Notamacropus eugenii: one gene and its partners. The protein of the gene in region 1 purifies or fractionates together with the protein of each later gene. This does not show direct contact. Links are inferred from orthologs where the notes say so. Each region holds a gene or a part of one and is shown in the gene's direction. Other genes may lie near its edges.

The links.
Region 2: the proteins of NPM1 (region 1) and SMARCA5 purify together in Homo sapiens (co-immunoprecipitation; 3 studies listed by BioGRID and IntAct, with this or other methods). This does not show direct contact. The link is inferred for Notamacropus eugenii from reciprocal best matches to the Homo sapiens genes NPM1 and SMARCA5.
Region 3: the proteins of NPM1 (region 1) and RPS9 purify together in Homo sapiens (affinity purification with mass spectrometry; 3 studies listed by BioGRID and IntAct, with this or other methods). This does not show direct contact. The link is inferred for Notamacropus eugenii from reciprocal best matches to the Homo sapiens genes NPM1 and RPS9.
Region 4: the proteins of NPM1 (region 1) and PARP1 purify together in Homo sapiens (affinity purification with western blotting; 3 studies listed by BioGRID, with this or other methods). This does not show direct contact. The link is inferred for Notamacropus eugenii from reciprocal best matches to the Homo sapiens genes NPM1 and PARP1.

Annotation. Positions count from the first base shown.
Region 1 is NC_092872.1:403,041,432-403,049,623, forward strand, and holds the start of NPM1 (nucleophosmin), read left to right. Parts: upstream 1-4,938; 5' UTR 4,939-5,176; coding exon 5,177-5,234; intron 5,235-6,648; coding exon 6,649-6,728; intron 6,729-7,136; coding exon 7,137-7,256; intron 7,257-8,192. UniProt on the Homo sapiens protein: Involved in diverse cellular processes such as ribosome biogenesis, centrosome duplication, protein chaperoning, histone assembly, cell proliferation, and regulation of tumor suppressors p53/TP53 and ARF.
Region 2 is NC_092877.1:140,691,788-140,699,606, forward strand, and holds the start of SMARCA5 (SWI/SNF-related matrix-associated actin-dependent regulator of chromatin subfamily A member 5), read left to right. Parts: upstream 1-4,622; 5' UTR 4,623-5,009; coding exon 5,010-5,174; intron 5,175-6,026; exon of another isoform or gene 6,027-6,042; coding exon of another isoform or gene 6,043-6,045; intron 6,046-7,819. UniProt on the Homo sapiens protein: ATPase that possesses intrinsic ATP-dependent nucleosome-remodeling activity.
Region 3 is NC_092876.1:13,041,422-13,048,224, forward strand, and holds RPS9 (small ribosomal subunit protein uS4), read left to right. Parts: upstream 1-3,981; 5' UTR 3,982-4,202; intron 4,203-4,435; 5' UTR 4,436-4,465; coding exon 4,466-4,562; intron 4,563-4,661; coding exon 4,662-4,784; intron 4,785-5,465; coding exon 5,466-5,652; intron 5,653-5,932; coding exon 5,933-6,110; 3' UTR 6,111-6,165; downstream 6,166-6,803. UniProt on the Homo sapiens protein: Component of the small ribosomal subunit. The ribosome is a large ribonucleoprotein complex responsible for the synthesis of proteins in the cell. Part of the small subunit (SSU) processome, first precursor of the small eukaryotic ribosomal subunit.
Region 4 is NC_092873.1:409,803,149-409,810,665, forward strand, and holds the start of PARP1 (poly [ADP-ribose] polymerase 1), read left to right. Parts: upstream 1-4,425; 5' UTR 4,426-4,668; coding exon 4,669-4,788; intron 4,789-7,517. UniProt on the Homo sapiens protein: Poly-ADP-ribosyltransferase that mediates poly-ADP-ribosylation of proteins and plays a key role in DNA repair.

The DNA of each region.
Region 1 (8,192 bases):
AAGATTGCCATCTATCTGACATTCTACCCCTCTTTAACTGAATTATATCAAACTTTTTAAAAAAAGTAGACAATAAGGATTTGGGTTGTTTTCATTAACTTCTTTTGATACCTTATCTTTTCTGCTTCTGTAACTATGTTTTTGCTACTACGATAATGTTAAACTTGGGAAAGCCCAGTGGGGAAAATAATTTATTATACAACATAGTGGGACTTCTCCCTTCCTAGTTTTCTTGGTTATTTTCCTGGTTCTTAGGATGGGGCATATTAACTACCATAATCATGTCTTCTTATCTTAATCCCCCTAACTGTTTTTCTGCCTTACTGTATTCAATGTTGTATTATCTCTTCTATAAAGCTTGCTCAAATTTAACTTCTAAGAATTTTATGTTAGCTCAAGATCTCAGTCCTGAACATGACTATATAGAATTGACTTTTAGACGATTCGCTTTATTTTAACTTTGCTATTCTGTTTTTATAACCAAGGCTTTAGCCATACAATGAAGCGATCTAGTAAAGACAAGTCTTTTAAGGAATAAAAGGGGGAAATTATGAAGTTGTAATTATAATTGGACTCCATCTTGTGAACCAAATCAATTATTGTCCTCCATTTTGTGCTGTTTCTTGTAAATCATATTTATCCTGTCTTGTTCAAGGAAAAGCAAGGTCAGTGTTGCTGGATCTTACAAGCAGAGGGGAGTAAAGTATAAGACTAGAAATGTATGAAGGGGCCAGGTCTGTAAAGGGTTTTAAAAGCCAGAGGATGATCCTGTAGGTAAGAGTGCCACTGAAGTTTATTGAATGGGAGTGGGGGGGTGGGGGAAGGGGGAGTGGACAGTTTACAGTCTGGGAAGTTCTCTTTAGCAGCTGAGTGGAGGATGGCCTAGAGTGGGAAGAGACTTGAGGTGGAGGACCACCAGGTAGGCTACTGCAGCGAACAGTCATGCTGTCTTAGAGACAAAAAGGAGACACAAGTTGCTTCTTTTTTTGAAAATAGGACCTGTGTCTTTGTTGGCGTAGGAAATGTTCCAAAAGGAAGCATTCCTCTACCAACATACATCAACACCTGCCTAAGCAACCTACAGCAGGGATTTGTCCAGCATCACACAGCCAGCATGCTTCAGAGATGAACGTGAACCCAAGTATTCTTGACTCAGAAACAGATATATCTCTATCCAATATACTATGCTGCCTCTCACTATTTTACTTATGTTGCCTAAAAGACAAAGTCCTTCCCCTGGGTTCCTATTGACATGGTTTAGGGATGCTGAGACCCCCAAAATGTCAGGGTACAGGGCAGTGTCACTTGGAATGAATTCACCCACTCTGTCTTCCAGTCAAGTGACAAAGTTTATTGTAATGCTGATAAAGCAGGAGAAGTTCCTTAGGGGACTTCCAACTTAATGGGGGTGATGCTAAAGCTTATATAGAATAGTTCAGTGAATGGTGTACCAAGTATGCTAATTAGGTGGTGCAGGGTGGAATTAAGGAGTGGTCAGCTCTTACAGGAACATAGTTCCTGTACCTTGGCCACAGGTGTCATTCACTACTGGAAAAGGGGAGGGGGAAGGAGAGAAGGCTTCTAAGTGGTGTTTTGGGGTGGAGAGGAAGGGTTTCTAAGCTGTGTGTTTTTCGTCTACTTCTTCTGTAACAAGATAGCCTGGGGAGTTGATGTGTATAGCTTTACCTCTGGATTGTATACAGTAAATGTGGAAATCAGTACATGATGCATCTTCTGGTACAAGACCATCCTGTTCATACAAGGGAAATTCTACAGAGGTCAGCTTGTTCTTATAACAGGGAGAGATGGCCTCACTGTGGGGGGCCCAGAAGTTACTGCCAGAGAAAGGGTCTTTGGACTGGGGAGAGAGAGATATGATCCTGGGGCTGGGGTTCAAGCACCTCACCACTACCACAAAGGCCAAAGAAACCTTAAGGAAACTTTGGTTTGGAAACAGAAAGGAAATAAGAAGGGCAGGTTTGGGCTGGTTAACCCATCTCCACATTCATAGACAAAAGACCTCCTGAAGATAATGTTTCTCTTTCCTCATCCCTGAGAGAGTAAGCAATCAGATATAGGTTATAATGTACAATTATGCAAACCATTTCCATATTAGTCATTTTATACAAGACGAATAAAAAAAAAGTGGAAAAAATAGCGTGCTAGGTCACCTAGTGTGTAGATGGTAGAGGCAGAATTCATACTCAAAAATTGGGCCACATGTATGACCTTAAGGTTTGAAATTCACCACTCTCATCATCCCTTCCTCCCTCCCTCCCTCCCTCCTTCTTCATTCTCCTGAACCTATCTGTGGCCTCACTATTACCTTCAGCTCTTCTATCCTTCCCTGCTCTCCCAACCTGAGGATTCTGGCTTCGTTCTTTTCAGCCTTGGCCCTATATAGTAAGCACTTCACCTATGCACTGTCCTATACCCTTGAATCCCTTTCTTCTTTGTCCTTCTATAGCTACAACCAGCCATTTATCAGTCCTGGGTTAGCAAGGCCATGTGGTTTCTCTACTCTTATTTCTGAGGTGCTAGATGGCACTGAAGAAAGTCATGCTATTGTGCTGAGACCACTACATATTCCCATTATCTAATCTCAAGTAGGCCTTTACCACTGCACAAGAATCCTTTTATTCTTCCCTATTTGACTATCATGTATTCTGCAAAGGCTGTTCTAAACCTCCTCTCATCAAACCCCCAAAGCTATTTTCACTCCCTTCCTCTTAACAGATGACCTTGCCTCCTACGTTATTGAGTAAACCAAGGCTGTTACTAGTTCCCATATCTCCTCTAACTCCACATTTCAAAGCTTCTGTACAAAACAAAACAAAAAACAACTTGTGTATATCTTTACTTCTCTCTTCCCGTGCATCACTCTTAGCAGATGAGGGAATCCTTTTTAGAGAGGTTAAGGCCTCTTGGCTTGAGCCTACATCACATATATAAAATATAAGTTCCTTGAGGGCCGAGGCTATTTTGTTTTAGTATCCCCAGCACTTAGCACAGTTCCAGGTGAATAGTAGGGATTCTCGGTTGATCACTTGGGCACTTATCTCGTGTCACCTTCCTTGTCCTCCAGATTGCTGGTTTATTGCTCAATGTTTACAAACATGTCAGAGTCTTTGTTATTGTTCAGTCCCATACTTTGCTACCTGTGGACCATTCTGTGTCTTTACTTGACCCCATCATTTCCTCAAGCTTTCATCCTGAGACATTTAGAAGGTTGGTCCTAAACACTATAGACCTTCATAAAAAAAAAAAAAAAACAAACCCTCAAAGGAAGCAGTTTGTCAGACTGCCAATCTGTTGTCTCTCATTCTTGCTACAAGACCAGTCCCATAACTTATTTCATTCATATATGGCTTTAATTTCCCTCATTAATGTCATTTCTGGAGTACATTATTGTTGCCAACACCATGCAACTTGGCTTTACCCACCATTTGCAATTTTGATTCTTCCATAATAATGGAGCCTCATAGCATCACCAGAATATTGTTACTAAAGCAACAATGTGCTTTTGATGTACTTTCCCAGGTATGATCCTGTCCATTTTTCTAATCTTTATTTCTTGGCTTTGTTCATGTGTCTATCAGTCATACACGTTTATGTTGACTCATCCAACATAAGCAACACCTTGCCTTAGAGGCATAGAGTTCTTCACATGATATTACAATTCAATGCAACGAATCCTCCTTCTCTACTAAGTCAGAGCCTGCTGCGGCAGTAGGAGGGGGAGTAGGCTAGTGCAAGGAAAAGTATGGTGGTTCTGGTATCAAAAGACAAGGGTTCACATTCTATGTAATGGAATCACAGAATGTGAATTAAAATTCTGGGTCTGCCACCCATGTGACCGTGCCCTCCTTTGGACACTTAGAAATGAGGAGCTTGGACTAAATGGTCCCTAAGATGCCTTCAGGGCAGCTCAGTGGCACCCAGGAGACAGCCTGGAGTCGGAAGACTTCCTGCCTTCCATTTTGGCCTCAGACACTCATGAGCTGGGTGACCCTGGGCAAGTCACTTCACCCTGTTGGCCTCAGTTTCCTCATCTGTAAAATGAGTGGCAGAAGGAAATGGCAAACCCAAGAAAGTCCCAGATGGGGAGGCGAGGAGCTGGGACCGACCCAACAACCAGTCCCTTCGGACTCTGAACCCATCTTAGGAGGTCAGTGGCCCGGATGGCCGGCTTTCAGTGACTAGTACGATGTAGCCCGGGGCAATGATCGCTGCCCTTCGTGGGGCTGTCACCCCAGCACGGTGCCTGACTGCGGACCAGCCCTCGGTTTGCCTGAGTGCACCGGAGTAGGGACTGGCGAAGCAGGCCGGCATCCGTGCCGAGGAGAGGCCGCGGCGGCGCAGGGGCGCTCTGGGCCGCGGGCCACAGAGCCCGGCATCGCTCAGCAACCACACTGGGCCCTTTCGGCTGCTCGTGGCAGCCGTGGAATCGCAACGGGGCCAGGCCGTCGGGGCCAACGCTCCCCTTTCGTAGGCGGGGAATCCTGGGCCCAGACAGGGCGCACGGGTGGGGTCGGCCCCGGCAGTCTGTAAAGATCGTGGTCCTGATTCTTCCCCGAGGCCTCTGGGGCTGGAGGAAGAAGGCCGTGAATGGCTAACGCTGAAAGCCTTTCTCAAACAGACTCAGGTCAGTAGGATGAAAACACTAGGATTCTCCAACATCGGGCTGATTTCTTCGAGAAGAGTACTAAAATGGGGGGTAAGGGGTGGGGGGTGGGGGCGTCGCCGCCATTTTGCGCAGGGTCAGCAGCGCGGGTTTCCCCACGCCGGGGGCGCGCCAGGGTCTAGAGAGCCCGCCAGCCGCGTGCCCGTGTGTGCTAGAGTGTGGTCGGGGCGAAGACATGGCGGCGCAGAGCTCGTTCCTGCTGACGTCGGGAGCGCGCGGGCGGAGGAGGCAGGCGGCGTCGCGCGCACCAAACCCTTTCTGTGGTTGGCAGACGAGGGCGCGCGGAGAGCGAGACCGGCCGGACGTGCACGTGCTCACGGTGGCAGATCTCGCGAGATCTGTGAGGGACTATATGTGTGCGCAGGGAGCCCGCGTCCTTTCCTCGGTGTGATTCCGTCCTGATCGGAGCCCCTCGGGAGCCAGAGCCACTCTCCGTCCGCCTCGTCGCTCTCCTTTGAACACTGCCCTTCTCTCCTCAGTATCGCCGCACCAATGGAGGACTCCATGGAAATGGACATGAGCCCCCTCCGGCCCCAGAATTTCCTCTTCGGTAACGGCTGTGTATTTAGAGGCGGCTGCAGGGTTGGGGGCGGGGCGGCCAGTCGCGAGCCTGGGCCTATGTGTGTGTTGGGGGGGGCTTGTTGGGGACCGAGGCTGGGGCCTAGATGGGCCGTGAGGACTGGAAAGCCTCCTCAAATGTGGCCCGTGGGCGCAGCTCCGGGGAGCAGCTTGTTTGTAGCGGGCTGCTGTCGGGGAGGGGGTTTTAGGCCGGGCGTGGGGTGGCTGCTGATGGATGCGGAGGGGGCCTTGGAGGCGAAGGCTGCGGGCCTGGCGACGGTGGGGGAGGGGATGACGGCCCAGAGGCCCGGATTTGGTTTTCTGTGGAGCAGGGGAGGGTGAGGAGGGGCTTAGGGAGGGGTCGGCGACAGGCTTGCGTCTAGGCTAGTGGAGCTCGGCCTCCTCCCGTCTCTAAGAAGGCCACCGGCAGAACCGCGCAGCCGCGTCTCAGCAGGGACCCGCTTGGTTGCCACCGTTGCTGGGCCCGTTACCGGGGGTGGAGGGTGGGGGGTGGGGCACGTGGGCAGAAAACCTGGGTGCTACAGGGCCTCCTGCAGGAAGCACGTGGCGCCCTCGAGGCCTTCGGCTGAGGGCGGAAGGCATCTCTGGAGCATCCAGGCTCCGCGGTCCTGTACGTGGGTGTGCTGCAGTGTGTGGGGAAATGTAGGATCGCCACAAGGCCTAAGGTGGGGGGGACTGGAAACACAGAGATGGCTGCTTATGAGTCTTTAATAGAAATGGCACCAACCGGAGTTTGGCTTGGATGCTTTATACTTCAGGACGCAGCAGACATTAGTAGTTTGATGTATGTACTCTGGTTTTTTCCATGTGGTTTGCTAAACCCGTCCTGGCTTGTATTGCAGAACTTAGGCCATTTGCGTACCCAACTATTTCCATTGTGGGCACATTTTGTCTCTGTCTCACTCGATAAGATAGCCTTTTGGGGGGAGGGGTCTTTGAGGCATCCCTTCGTAAATTAAAAATGCTTCTTGGTTGCATGAAACCAGTTGAGTAAATTTTTAACGTTGATAGAGTGGAAAAAATACTCAATCTCTAGGGATAAGTAGGATTCAGGTCCCCTCCCACCCGCCCAACTTGTTTGTGTATCAGAATGGATCTCTCTCCCTCTGAAAAAAATACAAAATTCCACTTTGGAAAAATTACAAGTACAAATTTGTTCCAGTCCATCTGTTTGAATTTATGATTCGATTTTAATTTTTTTATGGATTTAAAAACATGACGTATTCACTGAGCTTTTTTTTTTTTTTTAAACCTATATACCTCGATGCACTCTTAAGGTGAAGGTAGAGCAAGTATTAGCTCTCTTAATATTCAGTTTTTAAGGGATGAGTCGTTTGCTATTTATGAGGTATCTGGTTAAAACTATGGCTCCTGCTCCTTTTCAGGTTGTGAACTAAAGGCTGACAAAGATTATCATTTTAAGGTAGATAATGATGAAAATGAGCACCAGTTGTCCTTGAGGACTGTAAGTAAATTTTCATTATTTAAATTTACCTTTTTCTTTCTTTTGTTCATTTAACAGGATAAAATCTAAGTCCACATTTTAGATATGGCCTTTAAAGGCCATACTTTTAATTAAGGCATAGCTCATTGGGTCATAGTAGGTCAAGAATAATCTTACTTAAGTACTCATGGCCGTACATCTAGTACGTGGGTATTCAAAAGGAAAGTAATGGATACAGATAGATTTGTGCTGTGTACATAGCTTTTTTTCTCAAGTGCTTATAAGTTAAGAAAGTTGACAAACTTTTACGATGATGCGCAGGTAGCAATTTTTTTGGTTGGTCAGTGTTCCTTTAGCACGTAACTAGTTGATTTAGGAGCTTTTAAAACTGAATTACTAAAAGATTGTTTTCCTTCTCTCCTTTTACAGGTGAGTTTAGGGGCTGGTGCAAAAGATGAATTGCATATTGTTGAAGCAGAGGCACTGAACTATGAAGGCAATCCAATTAAAGTAACACTGGCATCTTTGAAAATGTCTGTGCAGCCTACAGTAAGACCTTAAATTTTTTTCTGTGATTATTTATTTTGAGCTCAATGTTTAAGTGGTAAATCCATTGATTCTAATCTTATATAATTCACACTTTTTCTTGCCACATATCCCCACTAGGGGTTTATAACAATATTTTGTGATTTCTGCTTTAATGCATTTTTTTCAGAGCCAAAATTGGGATAACTGGCATTTATATAATGTTTTAAAGTTTAAGAATTTTTTTTGCATCCTGTGAGATAGTTAAGTATGCACTAAGTATAATTATAAATTTACTAATGCAGGTCCTCACTTTCTCTTGCAACTTAGTCTGACCAGTTTCCTAGAGCACTTGAGAAGGTAGGTTACTTGCCCAGAGTTAACACAACCAGTATGTGTCAGAGATAGAACTTCATACTAAGTCTTCTGACTGAGACACTACTCTTCTTACGTAGGTACTGCAAGTACTACTTCCAAGTCTGAATATTGACTACATATTATCCCCAATTGCTATGCTATGTAATAAAGACAATAAATTTTAATTACATTGCATCTCAAGGTTATATTTGTATTACTCAAGTTTCAAATCCATTACTAGTTTGGGAAGTAGTGTATTCTGGTTTTGCTCACTTAGGCTAAATTAATAGTTTTAGTGAATAAGCAGTAGAGCCAAGTAAGGAATTATACTTGCTCATAATTCAGTATTTCAGAGATACAGGATTTCATTGTTCTGTGGTAGTTTTTCCTCAGACCTTTGGTGTATTTCCTCCCTTTGCCTTTATAGCATTCTGAGTTTCCTTCAAAACTCAGGTCAAATGCCCTCTCTTCTATGAAGACTTTTTTCATTGCTAACTGCTTTTACCCCATCTCAAATTAAATTTCATTTTGTATAGTCAGATGCAATTAGTCTCATTGGTGAAATATAGGTTTCCTAGGTATAGAGACAGTTTAATTTTTGTC
Region 2 (7,819 bases), on another chromosome or scaffold:
AATAAATTTTGTCTCCTCTGCACAGAAAATTTGTGGTTCAGAAATGTTGCCCATGAACTCCCCTCTCAAGCTGAGTGGGCAAGCATGTCTACTTTTGTGGGAACTGTATGTTGATCCCTATTGCTGCCACCTTTTGGGTTGGGAAAGCCTACTCTCAGGTCTTTGTCTTCTCACCTCTGCAGAGAAAGTTACAAACATATGTAACTCCCAAGCCAATTACCAAACACTCCTCCACGTAGCCATTCTGCTGGGCTTTCTTCTGTATTCTGAATAAAAAAAGAAAAAAAAAGGAAAAGGGTGGTTTGTCTTTACAGGCTTCATTTCTATGTGCATATCTTGAACAGTTTTCTAAGTCATTTTTAGGATGAATGCTTCATGTTCTGAATTTGTCAACTGAGCATTAGTGGTCTTGGTTAGGATATATGAATATAGATAAGTAACACTCCCTTATATGAATAGGAGCTGGCTTATCATGTCCTTGGCTCTAAAAACTACTCCCACCAAGAGTCAGTCTCTCTCTCTCTCTCTCTCCCTCCTTCTTGGATGTTCTCTAAGAGAACTTAAAGTAAGTGCTGAGTTGGGTGTGAACCAGATTAAAATATGATTGGAAAATATTTAACAAAATAAAAATACAATAGAATATAATGTTAATATGCATTTTTCTAAGTCAATATGCAGGCTGTAGGGATCCTTATGTATGGCTTAGTGGTCTTGTTTCTATTTGAGTTGTACACTTCTGGTTTAGATCTCTCTTAGTCACCCTTGGGAGTGACATCTCTTTCCTATGTAGCAAGAAGGAAGCAGCACAAAGCTGTCTTTAAGGGCGTTGTCCAAGAGGATGTTTGATTCTTTAAAATCTAGATCCTGGGACGGATCTATTTTTATTCATCCCAACCTGGGGGATAGACCTAGGTAAATTTCAAGGGAGAAAAAAGAAATGTAATGTGATGACAAATATTTTCTGTAACGGCAGATACAAATACTGACTTTAGTGATTATTCTTAAAAAACTCAAACCAAACCAAATCAAAAACCAGACACAGACAAGACAGTATTATGTAGTACATATATTACAGCATTTATTTAGTCTTAGTTTTTTCAGGGTAGGAGGAGTTATACAATGTTAGAAAAGCTTAAAGGCATATCTGATATAATATGGTTCAGTGGTATCAAACTCCAATAGAAATATTCCTGCTGGCTACATACTGAAAATCACACATTAACATTTTCTATATTCTATTTTTTACTTATTTTGTTAAATATTTCCCAATTACATTTTGATTCCTGTAGAACTTAGGTGTGTAGCAAGGGGTAGGGGCAAAGCCACTGATCTGACGATTCTGATCTAGCTCATTCACTTCATTTTATAGATGAGTCTCAAAGATTTGGTGGATGACTTGCTCAGGGTCATGTGGCTAATTATTGGTAGAGCTAAAGGCGTAGGGGTGAGGTCTGGAAGAAGAAAAGCCAGCAAACATTTATTAAGTGCCTACTATATGCTGGGTACTGTGCTAAGCACTTCACAAATATCTCATTTGATTCTCACAACCACCTACTATTATTATTATCCCCATTTTACAGTTGAAGAAACTGAGGCAGAAAGGGGCTAAGTGACTCCAAGGGGCCAAGGTCACACAGCTAGTGTTTGAGGTCAAATTGGAACTCAGCTCTTCCTGTACTGAGTCAGCACTCTAACCCCAGCTGCCTCAGCTGGGTAAAAATAGAACCTGGATATATTCCTTGTTCAATGCCCTTTCTCCTGCATGAGACCTTGGCCTAAAGGGCTGAAGGTCTCCCAGTGCATCCTGGGCCATCTCCAGTCATCCTGAGGAATATCAGGTCACTGGATTCAGATGGCTCTGGAGGAGAAGTGAGGCTGGTGACCTGCACACCCTTCCCTCACTCAAAACAAAGTCAAATACAAGTCATGTCATCTCTCTGATGGCATGGCCTTCTTTGGCAACGAAGGATGAACACAATTCTCCCACATCATATTTCTTCCCCTTGACTCCATGCCCTCACACACCCCCATATGGAAACAGTTATCAAGTTTTCTTGATTCTATCTCCATAACCTCTCTCTTATTTGTCTTTCTCCAACTTACCCAGTGACCACCTTAGTTCAGGCTCTCGAGTCCCACTGGTACCAAGACAATAGATTCCTACTTGTTCTCCCTGCCTCAAGGCTCTCACCTCTCTTATTCATGTATTCTACACAATTGCTAAGTGAAACATGTCACTGGTTCTCTATGACCTCTAGAATGAATAAAAAAATCCTTTGATCAGCTTTACTGTTCCTAGCCTATCTTCCCAAGTTTATTACATATTACTATTTCCATTTTTGTACTCCATAGTCTAATTAAAACAGATCTATTCACTGTCTCTCATACACAACATTTTATTTCCTGTCTCTGTCTTTGAACAGGTTTACCCTAAGCCTGGAATGAGTTTCTTCCTCAACTCCACCTTTCGAGTCCCTTGCTTTTTTTCCTTCATCGCTCAGCCTAAGTGCTGACTTGTGTCCTTTCCTGATCCTCAAAGCACTATTACCTCCTTCTCCCAAATTCTCTTGTTTACTTTGAATATATTGTTATCTACTTATGTGCATAGATTCGTTAGTTTTCCGAATTAGCTGAAGTGTGAAACAGTGGAAAGAACACAGAACTCAGATCCAGACACGAGCATGAATCGTCACTGTGCCCCTTACTGACCTTTGGCATAGAACCTCTTAGGTAGCAAAGAGGATAGAATGATGAGTTTTGAGTCTTGGAGACTTGGGTTCAAATAAGGCCTTGGACAAGTCTCAACCTTTTTGCCTGTTACTTCAACTGTAAAATGGAAATATCAAAAGTACCTACCTCTCAGGATTGTTATGCGGATCAAAGGAGACAATATCCATAAAGCACTTAGCACAGTGCCTCACGCTTGGTATGTGCTATATAAATGTTAGCTAAGATTATTTGGGGCTCTTTGGTGGTACAATGGATACAACGCCAGGCTTCAGGTTAGGAAGACCTGAGTCCAAATGTGGCCTCAGACACTTAGTAACTATGTGACCCTGGGCAAATCATTTAACCCTCTTTGACTCAGTTTCTCATTTGTAAAATAAGCTGGAGACAGAAAAGGCCAACCACTCCAGCATCTCTGCCAAGGAAATCCCCCTAACAGGGACATGAAGTCGGACATGACTGAAAAGACTCAACAACACCCAGCCCCTGGAGTTTGCCACATCTGTATTCTGGGGGGGCAGTGTGATGCAGTAAGGCCAGGGGCAGACCTGGGTTGGGATTCTGCCTCAGGTACTTCCTAGCTGTGTTACTGAAGGCCTACCCCCACCAACTCTGCCCCTCAGTGTCTCCACCTGTAAAATCGGATTAGACTTGACGGCATCCAAGGCCTTTCCAGCTCTACACTCATGATGCTTGAAGGGCGGTGTGCTTCTTTGGCTTTTCACATTATGTATGTGACAGCAGTATGACATTCAGGCCATCCCAGCCCAGCCCGCCCTCCCTCCCAACAGAGGCCAGCACAAGCCATGCCATCCTTCTCCGTGGCACGGCTTTCTTCGCGATGGAGGGGGGACCACGGGCGCTTTTGAGGGTCTTTGCCACCCAAAGAGGTGTTATGGATGCTTAGGAGGGCACACGGAAGGCTCCTTTCGGCCAGCAATGCCAGGCTGCTCACAGAAGCGCTGGACCCACGCACAATGCCAGTCTCTCCCGCCTCTCCAGGAGCTTCTGCCTGGAAGATGCCTCCTGCCCTCCCGGGCGCGGCTCCACCGCCCCACTCACGACGATGGCTGCGTTTTCTTCGTGGGTCTCCTCTGAGCTTACAGGGAGGAAAAAGGAAGGGGGAAAGAAGCACGCTGGGGGCGGCGAGGCCAAACAGGAGATGCCGGCCGGTGCATAGGAGGAGGACTGGGGCTCCCCAGGCCCCGGATTCAAATCCAAGTCCGCGATCCTGGGTATGGTCCCGGGAGCCGGGGCTCCGGACTCGGGGGACGTGGGTCCCTCCGGGCGCTCCCAACTGTGAGGAACAACTTTGTGGATCCTCGGAGGGGGCGTGGGATCTAGAATAATCCTAAAGTGGACCGGGAAAGGGCTGGGTTCAAACCCCACCCTCGGCCCACCGGGGCGCTGCTCGAGTCACGTATTGCCCCCGGGCTCCGGACTTCCGCGCCCACACCCACGCAGGTCCGCGTCGGGAGGAGGTCGCGGGAAGGCCGCACCGCACGGGCAGGGCCGGGTGGCGCGGCTTCGGACGACGTCTCAAGAGCACGACGGCAGGGGACTGACCGGAGGGCCGGGGCCTAACTCCTGCGGGGCCCGGCCGCGGGGATTCCGGGTCTGCGCCGTGGGCCGCCCGGGGACCCCGTCGGCCCCCTGGAAGCGAGCCAGCAAAGGAAAGGCCAGCGCCTGACCAGTAGGGGAAGGCCGTTGGAGGGGGGTCGTTGGGGGCCGTGCGAGTGCGCTCCTCGCGGCGACGGGCGGGCGCCCATTGGCTCGCCCAATCTCCACGCGCATCCCAGGACCCGCCCTCTTCGCCCCTCCAGCGCCCCGCGTGCGGCGGAGGGAGGGGGTGGGGAAAGGGCCATCGCGCGCGCGCTAGGGAGCGAGTGGGGCCGGCCAGCCAATCGGAGGGCCGGCCGGCGAGCCCGCATTCTCGCGAGAACTGGAAGCCGGCGGTGGCGGCGTCTGTGTTAAGGACGGCATTGGTTCCTGGTTGGTGGCGAGGAGGCTGAGAAGCGCCTGCAAGGAGAGAGGACGCAGAGGGAAAGCAGCCAGTTGCCCCTCGCGCGCGCTCTCCTTCTCCCTCCCCTCCTCCCAGGCTTCCTTCCCTTCCCTTCCCCCGACTCCGAGCCCAGCCGTCCGCTCCAGGCGACGGGCGTCCCGCTGAGAGGTGAGCGGCCGGCCCGGCGGGCCCCGCGAGGAGGAGAAGGAGGAGGAAGAGAGGGAGGAGAGCTCCGTCCCGGCGTCTCCTCGCCACCCGTGTGCCCGGCCGCGCCGCAGGCATGTCGTCCGCGGCCGAGCCGCCGCCACCCCCGCCGCCGACCGCGGAGACCGTGCCCCCCGCCCCGGCCGTGCCCGTCTCTGGCGGCGGCGGCAACCACAACAAAAGCGGCGTGGAGAGCGCCCCGGCCGCGGCCGCCCCCCCTGCGGGCGACGCGGAGATGGAGGTGAGCGGGGCAGCCCGGGGAGGGAGGGACGGAGCCCGGGCGCCCGCCGGGACGCCGGCTAACGCCCCCCGCAGGTCCCCACGCGCCGGCCGGAGCACGCGCGCCCCTCTCCCTAACTTTGGAGCCCGGGGACGCGCCTCGGCGCCCCCCGCTCGGAGGTCATCCGCACCCAAGTTGTGGCTCTTTCGAAAGCGGGGCGAGCGGCGGCCGCGCGGGGCCGGCACGGCCGAGACAATGGAGAACGAGCCGGCCAGGCCCCGGGGCCCCGCCGCGGGGAGCAGCTGCGCCCGCACCCCCCCTCCGCAGCCTCGGGGGCACGGACGCGCCGGGCCGGCCCCCGCCTCCTCCGCCTCCTCCGCCCTCCTTTTGTGCGCTGCGCCAGCGCCGGGCCGGCTGCCGAGCCCGCGGGCGGCTAGGCCCTGCCTGGAGCCCCGAGCCGCGGGGGCGGGGGAGGGAGAACAAAGTCAGCCGGGCGGGCCCTCCGGGGCCGGCTCCTCCGGGGCGGGGGTCGGCCCCCCCCACCCTCGGCTGTGAGAATCGGGGCGAGTTCCCCCCCGGGCGGCGGTGACAGCTGGGGAGCCCGGGACCCGGACTGACAGGGCGCCCCTCCTCTCCTCCTCCCCCAGCCGCGTCCCCACGGCCCCCTGGGGGCCGGGGCTCTGACCGTGCCGGTTCTCCAGGCGAGGAAACCGAGGCCGGCGGCCGGCCCAGCCTCCGTGCGACGTCGGGGCGCGCGGGTGACCCAGGGTGCGGGGCGGCCCGGGATGCCCCGGAGCCGTTCGTGTGTCACAATTACAGACACTGCCGGGGGTTGTTGGTCGTCGTCTCTTTTCGAGCAAACTTGGATGCCAACTTTGGAAAGTTTTAGATGGTATTTTATATCAGGAGTTTTTGATTTTTAAACACGTAATTGGTGCAGATTTCAGGCTGAAGCAGATCCCAGACCCTCTCCATGCGCTTCCCATTTTTTATGATTCTTGTTCGTAAATTCTTCTTCCTCTGGTTCGTGAACTAGCTGGGTAGCGGGGGTAGGAAAGTATCACTCCAGTTGTCCATTTGTTGTTTTTCTTGGAACACGGACAGCCTGCCCTCCTTTTCTGATTATGAAGTCCTTGATGTTTCCCTTTACGTCTTTTCTCACTCAGGTTTTTCTTCGTAGTTACCTTGAAGTTTGTGTTTGCCCTGCATTTGTCCTGTTACTTGGGTTGCTTAACATTTTATTCAAAAGTTTATTCTTTTGAGATTGTCGTTGGTATTTGATAATTAACTTCCGAGATGCCATCCTGTTCAATCTCCTACAGCTTGTTAGTAATAATAATAGCTCAGATTTATTGAGTGCTATTAAAAGTTGCAAAGTGCTTTTGCCTTATCTTAGACTTCTTCTGAATTTCACGTAATCTCGTCTTGCATCTTTTCCCTTATTTGAAAATATGAGAAGGGAAGAGGCATGCTACCACATTTTAGAGTCCTTAGTGATTGAGAGGTATAGAAGTATAAAAAGCCTTGTATTTTTCCTATTCAGTGATGCATTAAGTCACATTAAACCCAGAACTCACAAAAACCCTTTTACTGAAATCTATAGGATAGGAAAGAGATTGTATTAAACATTCATACTAGAAATCAAAGTGGGTGAAAAATGCCCTAGACCCACCCTGAGACTGAGCTAAGGTTTTGAGGTTGGGTAGTTGTAATGATTTTTAGGGCAGACTGGAAAGTTTATTGAAATCCCAACAAAGAAATGTAATGAACACTGCAAGTCAAAAGAATTAAGTTAAAATTGAGTTACAGTTTAAGTGTATGAATAAAAATTAAATAGCTTATGTTAATATAATAATTTTGTAAAAAGGTATGTTGTACGAGCTCAGGAATTTTTTTATTTTCTATCCATAGACCTTAGTAATTTTGACATTTCTTACAAGACTTCTGGTATACATTTTTCATTGAAAGTCATTGTATTTCTTACTTCCAGATTGTATTTTAAAGGTTCTTAGGGTAGTTGTCCCTTATTTAAACTGGTTCTCTTTATACAGCTTTATACTTGTGTGTTATTTTCTCCTTTAGATTGTAAAGTGTTGTGCTTGAGCAGCAGTACTGTCCTTTATTGAGGTACATGCTGTGTAATAACCTAAATCTTCCCTAAATCTGCAGAATTGAATCTTTTTCAGTCTGTTAAAAGAAAGAATGCTCTTATTCTTTTTGATGGGCTTAATGTGACTTTTTCTGAACTTTGGAATTTTCTGAAATAGCCTTAATAGATTTTTTTGGTGTGACTTTACTGTGACTCCTGCCATAGTTACTGTAATAGCACACCAACGTGCACTAGGATTTGTAGTCTAGTGGAGAAGTATTATTTCTGTTCATCCGTTGCTTTTTGCAGTGTGGAGAGTATAATATGTTTCCATTCTTTACAGAAACTATTGTTCTACCCTCATCTTTGCAGTATACCTCAGCGTCTTTTCTGTTGGCCTCTGTTGGCTAATACTTATTTGGCCAGAAAGGGTATGCAGACTTTAACCCAGTTTTACTTTAATTGTAATAATGATTATTATTGAAACAGTACATTTTATTTTCTTAGGACTTTCCATTTTAATTTTGTTCGTACTATACTCAAAAAGGTAGGACAGATGCTATCACCATTCTCTCCT
Region 3 (6,803 bases), on another chromosome or scaffold:
GACTCTCTGGGACCTCTCAGCTGCCAAGGTGGTCTTTCTAATGCTTGGGCCTGACGATGTCACACCTATGTCCAGACCCCCCCTCTTTTTGTTTCTAGGGACCTCCAGGGGCCAGACTTATTGCACATTACCGCCTTTCACCCATTTCCTATGGCGCTACCCTAAAACCTCCTAGCAATGGCCCCCTCTTCACGCTTGCCTTTTGGAATCCATTTTTCTTCCACACTCAGGTTGGGGGCTTTTCTCTATGGGAGTCCCTTCTTGGTGCTCTCAGTGCTAGAGCCCTCTCTCCCAAATCACCTTATATTCATCTTTTGTATAGACTATGTGTGTATGTTTATATACAGCTATATGATGCAGGCATACATATATATTACATATATACATATATATGCATACATATGCCTGGCCTAATTGCCATGGGCTGCCCAGGTTCTCTTACCTAACTCAGGTCTTCCATGGCCAGCCGGATAAACGAATGAGAGAAGAGACCTCCAGAGTCAAACAGAGGTGTAGGCTTTATTCCAGATACAAGCTACATGTCAGTATGCAGGGCTAGTGCTCCCTGTGGGAGCCCCCTTCTCCCTCCTGAGGAGCAAGGAAGAACGACAACCCCTCAGGCTTTCCTGTCCCCATTTAAGCTCTCCCCCTGGTAGTTCGCTCATGGACTGCATGCTCTCAGCCCCTTAGCCAATTAACAAAAGGTGTGCTCAGACCACGAACCAATCTCAAGGGTGGGATGCTCTCCTCAAGCAAGTTTCCACTGAGAAGAGGTGGAAAACGAGATAACTCGTGTCTCACTCCTCAATTCCCAGCTGTTCTCTGGGGGGGCCTCATGAGAGCTCAAGAAGTCCTCACCTGTACCTGACCCAAGACCGTTCACGTGAGAATTGAGCCTACCTTAACATACATATATAGATAAATAGATGTTTATGTGTGTATCTCCAGGAGAATGGATGTAGGTATGATATATATACACATATACACATGTGTGTGTGGTGTGTGTATACATGTGGATATGAATATGCACATACACATGCACACATATACATGTATATTAGTACATGCATTTCTCCAGTAGAATGGATGCAGGTATATGTGTGTGTATGTATAAATATGTATGCATATATACACACATGTAGATACATGTTCATATGTGCATCTCCAGTAGGATGGATGCAGGTATGGCATATATACATATATATGTGTGTGGTGTGTATATATAGGTACATGTGTGTATACACATACACATATACATGTATGTTCACATGTGCATCTCCAGTAGAATGGATGCAGGTATATGTGTGCGTACATATTTATATGTACGCACACATCATACATACATACATACATAGATACATGTTCATATGTACATCTGCAATAGAATGGATGCAGGTATGGTGTGTATATGTATGTATACGTGTACACACTCAAACATGTCCATGTGGATATATGTTCATATGTGCATCTCTCCAGTAGAACGGAGGCTTCTTGAGAGCAGGGACTGTTTGGCTTTTATAGTTACATCCTTGGTGCCTAGTCCAGGGCCAGGTACCCAGCAGGAGCTCAATCACTGTTTGTTGACTGATTGCTGTGGGAGTCATGAGTTCATGGAGGGGAGGAAGTAGACCTGCTGGATTTGGAGAGAACTTGAATTCACATCCTGTCTCTTGTGACCCTGGGCAAGTCCTTTTCCTTCTCTGGGCTTGTTTCCCTATCTGTAAGGGGCTTGGATTCCATGACCTCCAAGGTTCCTTCCAGTGCTAGTCCTAAATAAAGCACAATGTGAATATTTGCTATTAGGTATTTATATCTTGGCAGGGTTTTAAAAAATCTCCTTCCTAAGTTATAAACAAAACAAAACAAGTCCCTTTGCCCAGAGAGTGATCATTTTTTTAATCTTCCCTTCATGATGGCTGGGCAGGTAGGTAGAGCAGTGGATAGAGCATTGGGCTTGGGATCAGGAAGACTAGTCTTCCGGAGTTCAAATTTGGACTCAGAATAGCTGTGTGACCCTGGGCCAGTCACTTGACCCAGTTTGCCTCAGTTTCCTTATCCATAAAATAAGCTGGAGAAGGAAATGGCCAGCCACTCCATTATTCTTGCCAGGAATACCCCAAATGGGATCAAGGAGAGTCGGACATGACCAAACAATCTGCTAATAACATATGAAAATGGGCAGCTGGGTGGTGCAGTGGATAGAGCACCAGTGCAGGAGTCAGGAGGACCTGACTTCAAATCTCACCTCAGACACTTGACACTCACTAGCTGTGTGACCTTGGGCAAGTCACTTAACCCCAACTGCCTCATCCTGGGTCATCTCTGGTCATTGTGATGACTACCTGGTCACTGGATTCAGATAGCTCTGGAGAAGTGAGGCTGATGACCTGCACAGCCCTCCCTGACTCCAAACAAAGTCAAGTGCAAGTGGCATGGCCTTTGGCGACGAAGGATGGACACACACACCACATATGAAAAGACTCCTTATCACTGAAGGTGATTGTAAATAGCTGAAGAAAGCATCCCCTTTATTTTAAAGAAAATTATTTAGCAGATAAATTTGTTCATTTATTAGTGTGTGTGTGTCTCCCACGCTCTCCAGCCAGGTTTTGTCCACACGTTACTGAGAAGTCCAGAGAAGCATGATGTGATCTTTCCCAAACCTAAATCAGCCCAAGTGCAAGGTCAGATGTTTGCGGTTTTATTGTCCCAGCATCAGTGTGTGCTCTGCTTGGAGGATCCCTCCCACTAGCGCATCCCTCGGTGCGTACTGAGAACAGCCCAATGAAGCCACAGCCACGTGGTCTGCAATCCCACGGGCAGCCTGCTGTCCGTACCCACAACAGTCTGCGTTTCTGAGGAGTTGGGAAGATGTGACCAACTCTAGGGAGATTTCGCCTGGGCGGTGGGATCCCACGGCCGGTTCAGCGGAACGTCTGGGCCCGGTGGGCAGGTGTAGATCTGGACGACCGGAGATGGCCCAGGACGTGGTGGGGCACCTTGAAGCTAAGGTCTTTTACCCATCCCAGTTTGACTGAGGCGGTGCCAACCAGGGCCCAAGCACACACTAAGTGGGGCGACCTAGGGGCACTCTGCCCAAAGGGGATGTAAATTTTAATCTCTGAAACCTTTTCTTTTCTTTCTTGAGGACCAGCCTTAACCCTAAAGCATTCAGGTTCCTGTGGATAGGTCAATAGGTCCCGCGGGAAGTTTGGGGGCACGGACAAAAACGCAGCGGCCCCGCCCTGGGGGAGCTCAGCTTTGGGGCGGGTGGATGGTTTCCGCCCTGGGGGGGGGGGGGGTCGGTGGCCGGCCTGCCGGGTCCTTGCGGCAGGGCCTGGTGGGATCCCCAGAAGGGGCATGGAGACACGGGCTTGGCCTGGGATCACCGGGGCCGGGGGGCGGGGCTCCAGGCTGCGGGCCGGCCATCAAGGTCCTCCCTAGATTCGCATCCCCGGAGCCCCAGGCTGCCCGGCCCCGTCTGGATTCTTCCCTCAGCCTTTCTCTCGTCTCCATCGGGGTGCTCACCCTCTGGCCGGCCCGTGGCACGTGGGAGGCCCCTCAAGAGCCAGCCCAACATGGAGGACGACCAATAAAAGTTTCACTCGGGCTGAAGGAAGGCTTGGGTCGACCCGGCCTGTCGGTATTTTGGGGTCCCGAGCACCCCAAACCTCAACAGGGGCACCACTGCTCGGCCGACCCCCCCAAAGCTGGAGCAGCGCTCCGGGGGTTGCGCGCCTCCGGGAGCTTGACCCCAGGATAGGGTCATTCAGAAGGCTCGCGGTTTCGGGGTCCAGGTCTGTGTCCTTTGGGGGGGGGGCGGACGACCTGCATGGGGGCTGGGGGAGGGGCAGCCCCAGGGGTAGGGCCGTGAAGGTGCCCAGAGGCCGATGGCGGCTGCACGTGCCTAAGACCTTCCGGTCCGAGGGACAGGCAGTGAGCTCCCCACGCCCGGCGGCCTTCCGGTCCAGACCACGCCCATGTTCCAATCGGGGTTTCGGACCAGACCTGGGCTGGAGCCCGCGGCTTGGCCAGGACCAGGGCCGGGCAGGCCCCGAGCCCGGCCCCGCCAGTCCGGGCCGCTCGCCTCCGATTGGCCGGCTCCGCGCTCGCGCACCGACGTCACCGGCCCCGCCCCGGCGATATAAAAGCCGCACGCCGGCACGCCTGGCCCTTTCCCGGTAGTTGTGAAACTGCAGCAGGTGAGTGGCGGCTGCCTGCGCTGGGGAGGGCGGGAGGGAAGGAGGGACGGGGCTCGGAGCTCTCGCGGCGGCCCCCGAGGCCCCGCTCTGCGCGCGGCCGCCGGAGCGCCCCTTCGGCCCCTTGTTCGCCCGTGCTCGGCCTGGTCCCCGGGCCGCTCCCCTCCCCCGCCCCCGGGCCGCGCGCAGGCGCCGGAGCGCCCTTCCGAGCCCGCGTGTCTCGCCCCCACGCGCAGGCGCGGCCGTGCCGTACCCGCTAGGCCAAGATGCCGGTCGCCAGGAGCTGGGTGTGTCGGAAGACGTACGTGACGCCGCGGCGGCCCTTTGAGAAGTCGCGGCTGGACCAGGAGCTGAAGTTGATCGGTGAGCGGCGGGCGGGCGGCCGAGGGGGCTGGGGGGGTCTGGGGGGAGGCGGGGGGGGGGGGGCGCGTCCACCCACGTGCTCCCCTCCCCTCCCCCCAGGCGAGTACGGGCTCCGCAACAAGCGCGAGGTGTGGAGGGTCAAGTTCACGCTGGCCAAGATCCGCAAGGCGGCGCGGGAGCTGCTCACGCTGGACGAGAAGGACCCGCGGCGGCTGTTCGAAGGTGGTGGGGGCGGGGAGCCGGGAGGTGGGGGCGGGGCGGCCCCGCGGTGTGGCCCTAGCACCCCGCTCCGGGCTGGGGGAGGGGAGGGGCGGCCCCCCGCGGCGTGTCCCCAGCACCCCGCTCCGGGCTGGGGGTGGAGGGGCGGCCCCCCGCGGCGTGTCCCCAGCACCCCGCTCCGGGCTGGGGGAGGGGCGGCACCCCCGCGGCGTGCCCCTAGCACCCCGCTCCGGGCTGGGGGAGGGGAGGGGCGGCCCCCCAGCGGCGTGCCCCTAGCTCCCGGCTCCGGGCTGGGGGAGGGGCGGCCCCCCTGCGGCGTGTCCCTAGCTCCCGGCTCCGGGCTGGGGGAGGGGAGGGGCGGGCCCCCCCCCCCCCCCCCCCCGGCGGCGTGTCCCTAGCTCCCGGCTCCGGGCTGGGGGAGGGGCGGCACCCCCGCGGCGTGTCCCCAGCACCCCGCTCCAGGCTGGGGGAGGGGAGGGGCGCCCCCCCCCCCCGCGGCGTGCCCCTAGCACCCCGCTCCGGGCTGGGGGAGGGGCGGCACCCCCGCGGCGTGTCCCCAGCACCCCGCTCCGGGCTGGGGGAGGGGCGGCACCCCCGCGGCGTGTCCCCAGCGCCCCGCTCCGGGCTGGGGGAGGGGCGCCCCCCCTCCCCCGCGGCGTGCCCCCTAACCCCGCCCGCCCGCAGGGAACGCGCTGCTGCGGCGCCTGGTGCGCATCGGCGTCCTGGACGAAGGTAAGATGAAGCTGGACTACATCCTGGGCCTGAAGATCGAGGACTTCCTGGAGCGGCGCCTGCAGACGCAGGTCTTCAAGCTGGGCCTGGCCAAGTCCATCCACCACGCGCGCGTGCTCATCCGCCAGAGGCACATCAGGTGGGCTTCGTGTGCCCCCGCAGGTGACACCCCGGGCTGAGCCCCCAGGGCCGCCCCAGCCGCTGCCACAGTTAGCTGGGGCGGGGCCGGCGCCCCTCCCCAGCCCTGCGCAAGGCTCACTGCGGCCCAGCCGTACACCTTGTGAAGGCCGCGCTCAGGTGCGGGGCAGCCCAGGTGAGGGGGCAGGGCCTGCGGGGAGGGGGAGGGGCTGCCGACTCCACCCAGGGATCGAGCAGGAGCCGCGGCGTCCTGAGCGCTGACCTCCCAGCCTTCCTCGCAGGGTCCGGAAGCAGGTGGTGAACATCCCCTCCTTCATCGTGCGCCTCGACTCGCAGAAGCACATCGACTTCTCCCTGCGCTCGCCCTACGGGGGCGGCCGGGCTGGCAGAGTCAAGAGGAAGAATGCCAAGAAGGGCCAGGGAGGGGCGGGCACCGGCGACGACGAGGAGGAGGATTAAATGCACAGCCCCCCCAAAGTTTATCGCATTGGAATAAAGCTCTTTAACTTGTGAAGTGGCCGTTGTCTTCTGTGGCCCCGAGGGAGGTAGGGAGAGGGGGGAGGAGGGGTGCCAGCTCAGCCCTTGAGTCCCTCAGGATAGTCAAAGCACTGCCCCAGGGACCATCTCCTCTGAGAGCCTTGGATGTGTCCCCCAAGCTGCCGAGCCCAGCCTCTGCAGCCGGCACTGGGGGAGGAATCTGGAGAAAGGGACCCGGTGGGCCCCTGCAGGTGACTCCTGCCGCCCCAGATGGCATCCTGGGACAGGTTGGCAAGCTACCTCTGCCCCCCTGCAACCCCATGACCCCATGGCTGTGCTAAGGGTACAAAAAGGGCAAAAGCTACTAAGGCGTCAGTTGTACTGGGGGTGACAACGATGCGAACAAGAAACAGAAGACTCCTGAATGAAAAGGGGGGGGGGGCTAGGGAAGGCTTCCTGGAGAAGGGGAGGGGGTAGCAGGGCCTAGGGGCTGGAGACACCCAGAGCCTGAGCGTCTTCCTGTGCTAATAGCGGGCTCCTAGGATTGATCGCAGAGTAATACCCGAGAGGTAGGAGGGGCCTGGGACCGGGTAGGAGCAGGACACGAACCGATCTGCTTTAGGAAAGTTAACGGTGGCTGAACAGTCCGGAGCGAGACTGAAGCGGGAGAGCCAC
Region 4 (7,517 bases), on another chromosome or scaffold:
TCAGACATGACTGAAATGACCGAACAACTACATATTTGCATATCGACTTTAGAGGCCATAAGTTTTTGCTGATTCTTTTCTTGCATTCCTCTCTGTTTATTATGTTTCTTCCCTTCCACTCCTTTTTCCATTTAAAGCCCTTTACATATGTTGATATTGAGGGAATTAAGGGGATTGTAACAGCAAGTGGAGGTAGGGATTGAGTGAACCCCACCGATTCCACCTACTCTGTTCAGGAGCTAGCTCAGTCCCTTTTCTATTCAATTATTAGACTGAGGGTGAGTAGTTCCTCAGGGGTGAGGAATCTCCCCGAATGAAAGGATTTGTTCTGGGAAATTTGGATTCAGTCAAAGGGCCAAACTTGAGGACCTAGAGGGTCAAATGTGGACTTGAGTCTAGAGGTTCCCCACCCCTGGTCTAGTCTATTTTCTATCTTCTGAAAAAACATTTATTCAATTGTGGGAATTGTAGGAAAACTTCATTGCATTGTTTGAATCTAGCCCTGCCTGACGGAAAATTGGATCACCCAAAGGACCTAGGTTATCCCGACCAGAACTCGGTCAGATCTAAAGCCTAGTGGATGCAAGGAATCTTCTCACAATTATACATCTCAATGTAACCCATGTGTCTTATCTGAAAACTAGCCCCGTACCAATTAGTCAGTTATTGTTCCCATGTTACTTGGGTTGAATGCAAGCACTTGGGGGGAATAAGACATCTCTTTTTCTAATTTCAGGGAATTTCACTTGCTTTCTCTCCCCCTCCCAATTTAGAAAGTCCTTAATCTTTCATCCAATTAGAAATCAGATTACCTAATGTATCCTGGTTGTTTCCTTTTAATTAATTGGTCTTACTTGATTGTTTTTAGTGTATAAAAATCTATTTCCTCTAGTATTCAGGGTCCAGCCCTGAGCTGAAGAAGAGGCCTGGTCCTGATTTGTTAGGCAATTGGCACATATTGCTTAATAAATCAATATGCTTGGAAGCTCAAACCTTTATTTTCCCAGTCATTTCATCTTTCACCTATCACAATATACATTAAGATGTAACACGTGGCTAACTGTCTATAGCATAGCTTCACCTGGATATATCATAAACTGAGCATGTTCATCAATTTTCTCCCCTTGGATCCACTCACAGAGACTAACAATCTGCCATTTTTGTTTTGTCTCCCCTTTATCCTTCATTTTGAATTAATTGTGTTTGACCTGGGCAGGTCTCCAGTTTCCTTACCTATAAAATGGTATGGTTTGATCCCAGAATTAGAGTTACAAGAGACTTCAATCCAATTCTCCCATTTTACAGATGAGGAAACAGCATCCAGAAGAATTAAATCACTTGCCTAAGGACACACAGATAATAAGCATCCGAGGTGGAAGGTGAACCCCTACCCTCTGACTCAGTCAGGGCTCTTTCCCCTTGTGACAAGTTGTTGATTCACAACAGATTTCCACACCATCCAACTTTTCCTTATTTAGGTCCTTACCATCCCTTAACTTGAAGATGATAATAGTTCAGTGGCTCCCCATTGCCTTCAAATAAAGTCAAAACGTCTTAGCTTGTTAAGCCTCCCCTACCTCCCCTTACAGAGCAGCTATAACCTGTATTTGAAAGATTATCTCACTCTACTGTCTTTGCATATTCTACAGGCTAGACCAGGGGTGGGGAACCTGTGGCCTTGAGGCCACATGTGGCCCTCTAAGTATTTATTATTTACTAATCCTTAATAAAAGGATTTGTTCTGTGATGTTTGGATTCAGTCAAAAGGCTGCACTTGAGAACCTAGAGGGACACGTGTAGCCTCCCCATTCCTGGTCTAGTTATATGGTACTATTCACTGTTTCCTGACCTCTTGCTTCTCTATATATTTGTTCACGCTGCCAAGAATAGATCGCCTCCCCCCCATTCCCATTCTCTTTCTTTTTTTCTTTTTGGAGGCAATCAGGGTGAAGTGACTTGTCCAGGATCACAGAACTAGTAAGTGTCTGAAGCCCAGTTTGAACTCAGGTCCTCCTGATTCCAGGGCTACTCCCCGCAAGTGCTGATTCCCTCATCCTACTTGAGGGAATCTTCTTCCTTCGAGGTTCATCTCCCGGGCCTGAAACTTCCCTGACTCTTCCCAACTAGACAGAATCTCTCTCACTTTAAATTTCTCAAAGCAGTTTTGATCTCCCTTTTGCACTTTTCACATTCTCCCTGGCAGTGCACTTATGAACTACCTTCCCAAACAGATGGTAAATTTCTTGATAATAAGATGTTCCCACTTCATCTTTGATCTCAGAGACAAAGAATTATCAAAATAAACTTAAAATGTGTACAATTTTTCTATTTTTTCGACATTCAATATTCTTGCATCATACACAAAAGGAGGGTAGAAAAGCTAACAAAGGAATAATGCATTTTTATTCTAGGAAAATCAATCAAGGTTTTAACAGCCTGGTGTAGGGAATCAAACAATAGATTTGGGATCAATAAAACCTGTATTCAGATCTCATTTCTGTCGAGACATATGCGATTGTGGGTGCGCAAGTCACAACTTCAGATAATCTTACTATTAATCAAACAGCATTAATTTTTAAAATTTTATTTATTTTTAATTTATGAAATGAAACAAGTATTTCCATAACATAGAAGAAAAAAGATGATGGCACATGAAACTGAAATCTATTAAGTACGACTTCCTATTCCTTTTAAATATATAATAAAGTTATCGTTTAAACTTTTTTCCCCTTTTTTCCTTCCTCCTCTCCTCCCCCATTGACGGGGGTCGGTCCTAGGCGCCTGGGCGGATAGGGGCCTCCCCGGGAGTGGCAGCCCACCAATCCGAGGGAGACACGGCTCCCATAGAGGAGTTGTGAGCCCACGGGATTGGTCGGGTGGGCTGGATCCAATCGGGTGGTAGGCCTCGCCCTCGGGGCGGGTTAGGATGGCAGCCCGGAAGAACCTCCCTATATAAGACAACGCCCTGAACTGCTCGTGGGACTCCTCCATGCAATAAAGCTATGAACCTCCTGCGCATTGCCTGATTATTGCCTGCCGCCGTGTCCCCCGGGGTAGGTCCGGAGACGTCCGAAGCGGTGCCCACCGAAGGGAGATTCTCACTCGAAGGTCCCGGGGACAGACCCGGGACACCCCATAGCTAAATGTATCCCAGTGTTGGGATACAAATTAAAGACAAAAGACGGTCCCTGCCCTCTAGGAGCTCACTGTCTAATGGGGGAGACAATATACAAGCTATATACAAACAAGATACATATAGGATAAATTGGAGATAATCAACAGAGCAACAGTAGCAATAAAGGGCATCTGGTTGCTATGAAACTCAAGTGAGGCATCTACGTAGCCAACCCCCACTTTCACCCAGATAAAGTGCAGGTAGGATCTTATGTAAACTTTGTATATCCTCCTCACCCTCCCTTCTCCCTTTCCGGCTCCCACCCAGAGAAGGACTGAAGTCCTAAATGAAGTCCAGGGTGAGGAAATCACCTCTATCAATATCGGGAACACCACACACACACACACACACACACACACACACACGTCTTCTTAAGGAAGAAAGAGTAAGGCTGAGTTGGTAGCTCACTTAAATCCAGTTCATCAAAGAGGCAAGACGTCACCCGGTGATGTCACTGATCCTTTTTAAGAACCAACACCACATTACATCATGCAGATCCATCAGCGAGGTCTTCTCCTTTCTGGGCTGAGCTGGGAGGGGGCCAGGTCCAAGTATTTACGTAAGCCTTTGTCTGTTTCCTCCCTAGTCCGGGGGGACTGGTCTGAACCTGCGGAGAAGTCCAGGAGCATGTATTTACTTGCAAGGACAGCTAGGTGGGCTAATGAATAGAGCGGGGCCCTGGAGTCCAGAGGAGATGAGTTCACGTCCAGCCCCAGACACTTGCCAGCTGTATAGCCCTGGGGAAGTCACTTAACCCTGTTTGCCTCAGTTTCCTCTTTCCTAAGAAAACCCCAAATGAAGTTATGAAGAGTCGGACGCGACTGAAAACCACCAGACCCTGCAAAGCAGCGGGGATACGAAGAAAGGCAAAAAAAAAATAACCCAAGCGAACAAAACCCTTATATCTGCTCTCAAAAAGATGCAAACAGCTGTGCCCAAACAAGAGAAAAAAATACATCGGCGGGAGGGGGATGGTAGCCCCAGTTTCCTAGAGCTCTGAAAAAGCAAGGGACTCGCCCAGGGTCCCGCAGCCTCCGGTCTCGGTAAACTAGCTGTAGTCGGTACTTGACAAAGGTTAACGGAGTTGAATCGCTCGGCAGACTGGCGATGCCGGGTCTCCCCGCCAGGAGGCGCCTTACGCTCTCGGGCCAGCTCGCGCCACACCCACCCGAAAGGCGCCTACCTCCCAGGGAGGGGTTTTCCCCTTCGCGCCTCCTCCCCACCACCCCTCTCCAAGCGCAGGCATTAGTAATCTATCTCGGGAGAGCGGCGCGGCGCGCGCAGGGCTCTCGGCGCTCACTCCAAAGCCCACTTCCCTGGGCCGCCCGCGGTGGGCGGGAGAGAAAGCTAGGCGCGCGAGAGGCGGAGGCGAGGCGGCACGCGGCGTAAGTGGGGACCAGGGGCTCCCCCTCCCGACGCTCACGGCCAGTCTCGGTGGTGCGCCGCCGTTCCACGCGTTCCGAGGACAGAAGGAAGGAGAAGGCGGTGGGAGGATGGCGGAGCCGGCGGACAAGCCCTACCGGGCCGAGTACGCAAAGAGCGGGCGCGCCTCCTGCAAGAAATGCGGCGAGAGCATCGCCAAGGACTCGCTCCGTCTGGCCATCATGGTGCAGGTAGGAGGACCGACCCGGGAAGCCCCTTGGGTGGCCTCTCCGGCGGGGCCTGGGGAAAGTGAGCCGGAGCTCTCCGGGCCCTCCCCCCGCTCCCCTCCCTCCCCTCCCCCCGCCTTCATTCCCAGGAGGCTTCGATCCTGCAGCCGGGGTGGGGGCGGGGCGCCCTTGGCCTTGCGCTCTACCCCCTGCCGGGTTTTCGCGACCCCCCCCACCCCTCCCCCTCCGGCTGGGCCGGGCCGCTTTGTGTACACTTGCCTAGCTCCGGGTCGGGGCTGCTCCTCCCCCACCTAGGGAGGTCCCTAAACTTTTCTTTTGGCCTTTTTAAAAACGATAACCATCTTCTCGGAGAAGATCCTGTTAGGCCCCGGGAATGGGGTAGGCGCCGGCGCGTCTCCGGGCCTGCCGAGGAGGTTTTGCGGACCCCGGCAGCAAAGGCTGGGCCTCGGGAAGAAGCCAGCTGGGGTCCGTTAGGAGCCCTTTCTGCGGGCTCGGCAGGCCGCGTGGACGGCGGGCTCCGCAGCTGCTCGGGGCGGGGGGCTTGGGTACCGAGACCGGCTGGGGGCCCACCTCCCCGATGTTATCTCGTCCCCACGCGGTGGAGGAATGGTCCAAAAGTGAGCATCACCCGTGGGATCCTCAGATAGGAAGGACGGGAAAAAGAAAAAATAAAGGCCGAGTGGCCTCATTTTCCGTCCTTTAAAATTGTCCCCTGGAGGGCTCTGATTTTCCCGCTGCCATATTCCTTGGGCTTTGGCTGAGGTCGGGCAAGCAGATGAGCAGCTGTCCGCAAGAGATGTTTTTTTAAAAAATTCGCTTAATGGAAGTCACTCACATAATGTAGCAGATCATGTTTGTGTATGTGTATCTGTTTGTGTATCATGTTCTGATTTGTTATATGGATTCTTTCATTTATCTTAGTCTGACTACATAGCATGACTATAGTGAAAATATACTCAATAGGAAAGTATATGTAGAATCTATACAGAATTGTATGCAGTCGTGGGGAGGGAGGGAGGTAGTGGGGGGTGGGTGGGGAGGGATAAAATCGCAATTGTATGGCAGTGATTGTTAAACATTAAAAAAATAAAAAAATTAATAAAAAAAAAATTCGCTTAATGGACGTGCACGTTTTAATGCTGGGAAATGGCAGCTCTCGGCACGTAGATATTTCGTGGTAAACGACACAGCCCCGGACTTCGGAAATGCACCTTAGGGATAGAATTTTCAGACTTTTTTTAGGACACACAGAGATGCCTGCCCCCAGCTCTGCGCTGGAACTCGTTGGTGAAGGGGTTAAAATTCCCACCACAGAGCCCCGTTGGGCCATCGTTGTTCCAAAACGGGCTTCTGGGACCGCAAGGTGTTGATATTTGAGACTGGAAACATGACTTGCAGGAGTTTTTCTAATAGAAGATGGAACTGAGGGGAAGGCCTTGAGTGCACACCCAGTTATGTCTGATTCTTCTGGGAGGGTGAAGGACGTTTAACTCATTAAATTTCACTTGTAAGTTACTCTTTTTCCAAGTCTTCCCCAGGCTGCCACTGCCATTCTCCCATCTCCTCATCTTTCTTAGTTTGGATCAGGTCCCTTGAACATTTAGTTCAAAACAAGGAGCTCACCATCCTCATCCTCATCACAGAGTGCTCAGCTGGGTGTGGAAGTGGGAGTACCATGTCTGGAGTCAGGAAGACTCGTCTTACTGAGTTCAAATTTGGCCTCAAGACACCCTGGGCAAGTCATTTCACCCTGTTTGCCTCAGTTTCCACATCTGTAAAATGAGCTAGAGAAGGAAATGGCAAACCGCTCCAGTGTCTGCCAAGAAAACCCCAAAATGGGGTCGTGAAGAGAACCCACCGAACAACAACATAAGTGGGCGAGATCCGGATCTCCTACAACTAGCCCTCTCCCTTTCATTCTTGTGCCCCGATCTCTTCCCCTCTCTAAATCCTACCCATCTGTTTCCTTGGAGCCATCCTCTAACACCAACCCTTATTCATTTACCCTAGAAGTAGCACATCATCACCTGTGACCTAAAAATACACAATCCTGTGTGCTGATTGGTTCATGGGTCTTAGCTTTGTCTTTTAATTAGGCAGCAGTACTGTGGGGAAAGTTCTGACTACAGAGTCAGGAAACTAGGGTTCAAACCCACTTCTGTTTGTGTGGCCCAAGGCAAGCCACTTGAGCTGTAAAAAAGAAAGGGTTGGACTGCTTGGTCTCTTAGGTCTCTTCATATTCTACTTATAGAATCCTTAAAATCATCAAAACCTGGAGGAGACCTCTTAAGAAATAATAGTGCGTGAGCACTAGGTTTGGAGTAAAGAGATCCAAGTTCCAGACTGTATTCTGCCTGTCACTATCTTTGTAGCCTTAGCCAATTTTAGGTCTGTCTCAGTTTCGTTCTGTGGAAAAGAAAGGCATTGAACTTCATAGATGATTTCTGGGGACCTTTCTAGAGCTAAGGTTCAATAATTCTAAGTAATCCCAGCACTACCAATCTTAAAAAGGAAATATGTCCAAATGGAAAAACTTTATGAAGAATATTGGACCAAAAAAAATCTTCAGAATAATTAGGAAACTCAGACAGGGCCAGTAAATAAGAGAAAGCAATCATTCCTCTGACCCTAGATCTGATGATGGTTTCCTACTTCCCAGGGAAAGGAGCCAGGATTTATTTTTTATCTGTCCTTAGAATTCAACCTGACGATTTATCTAATATTTTTTTCTT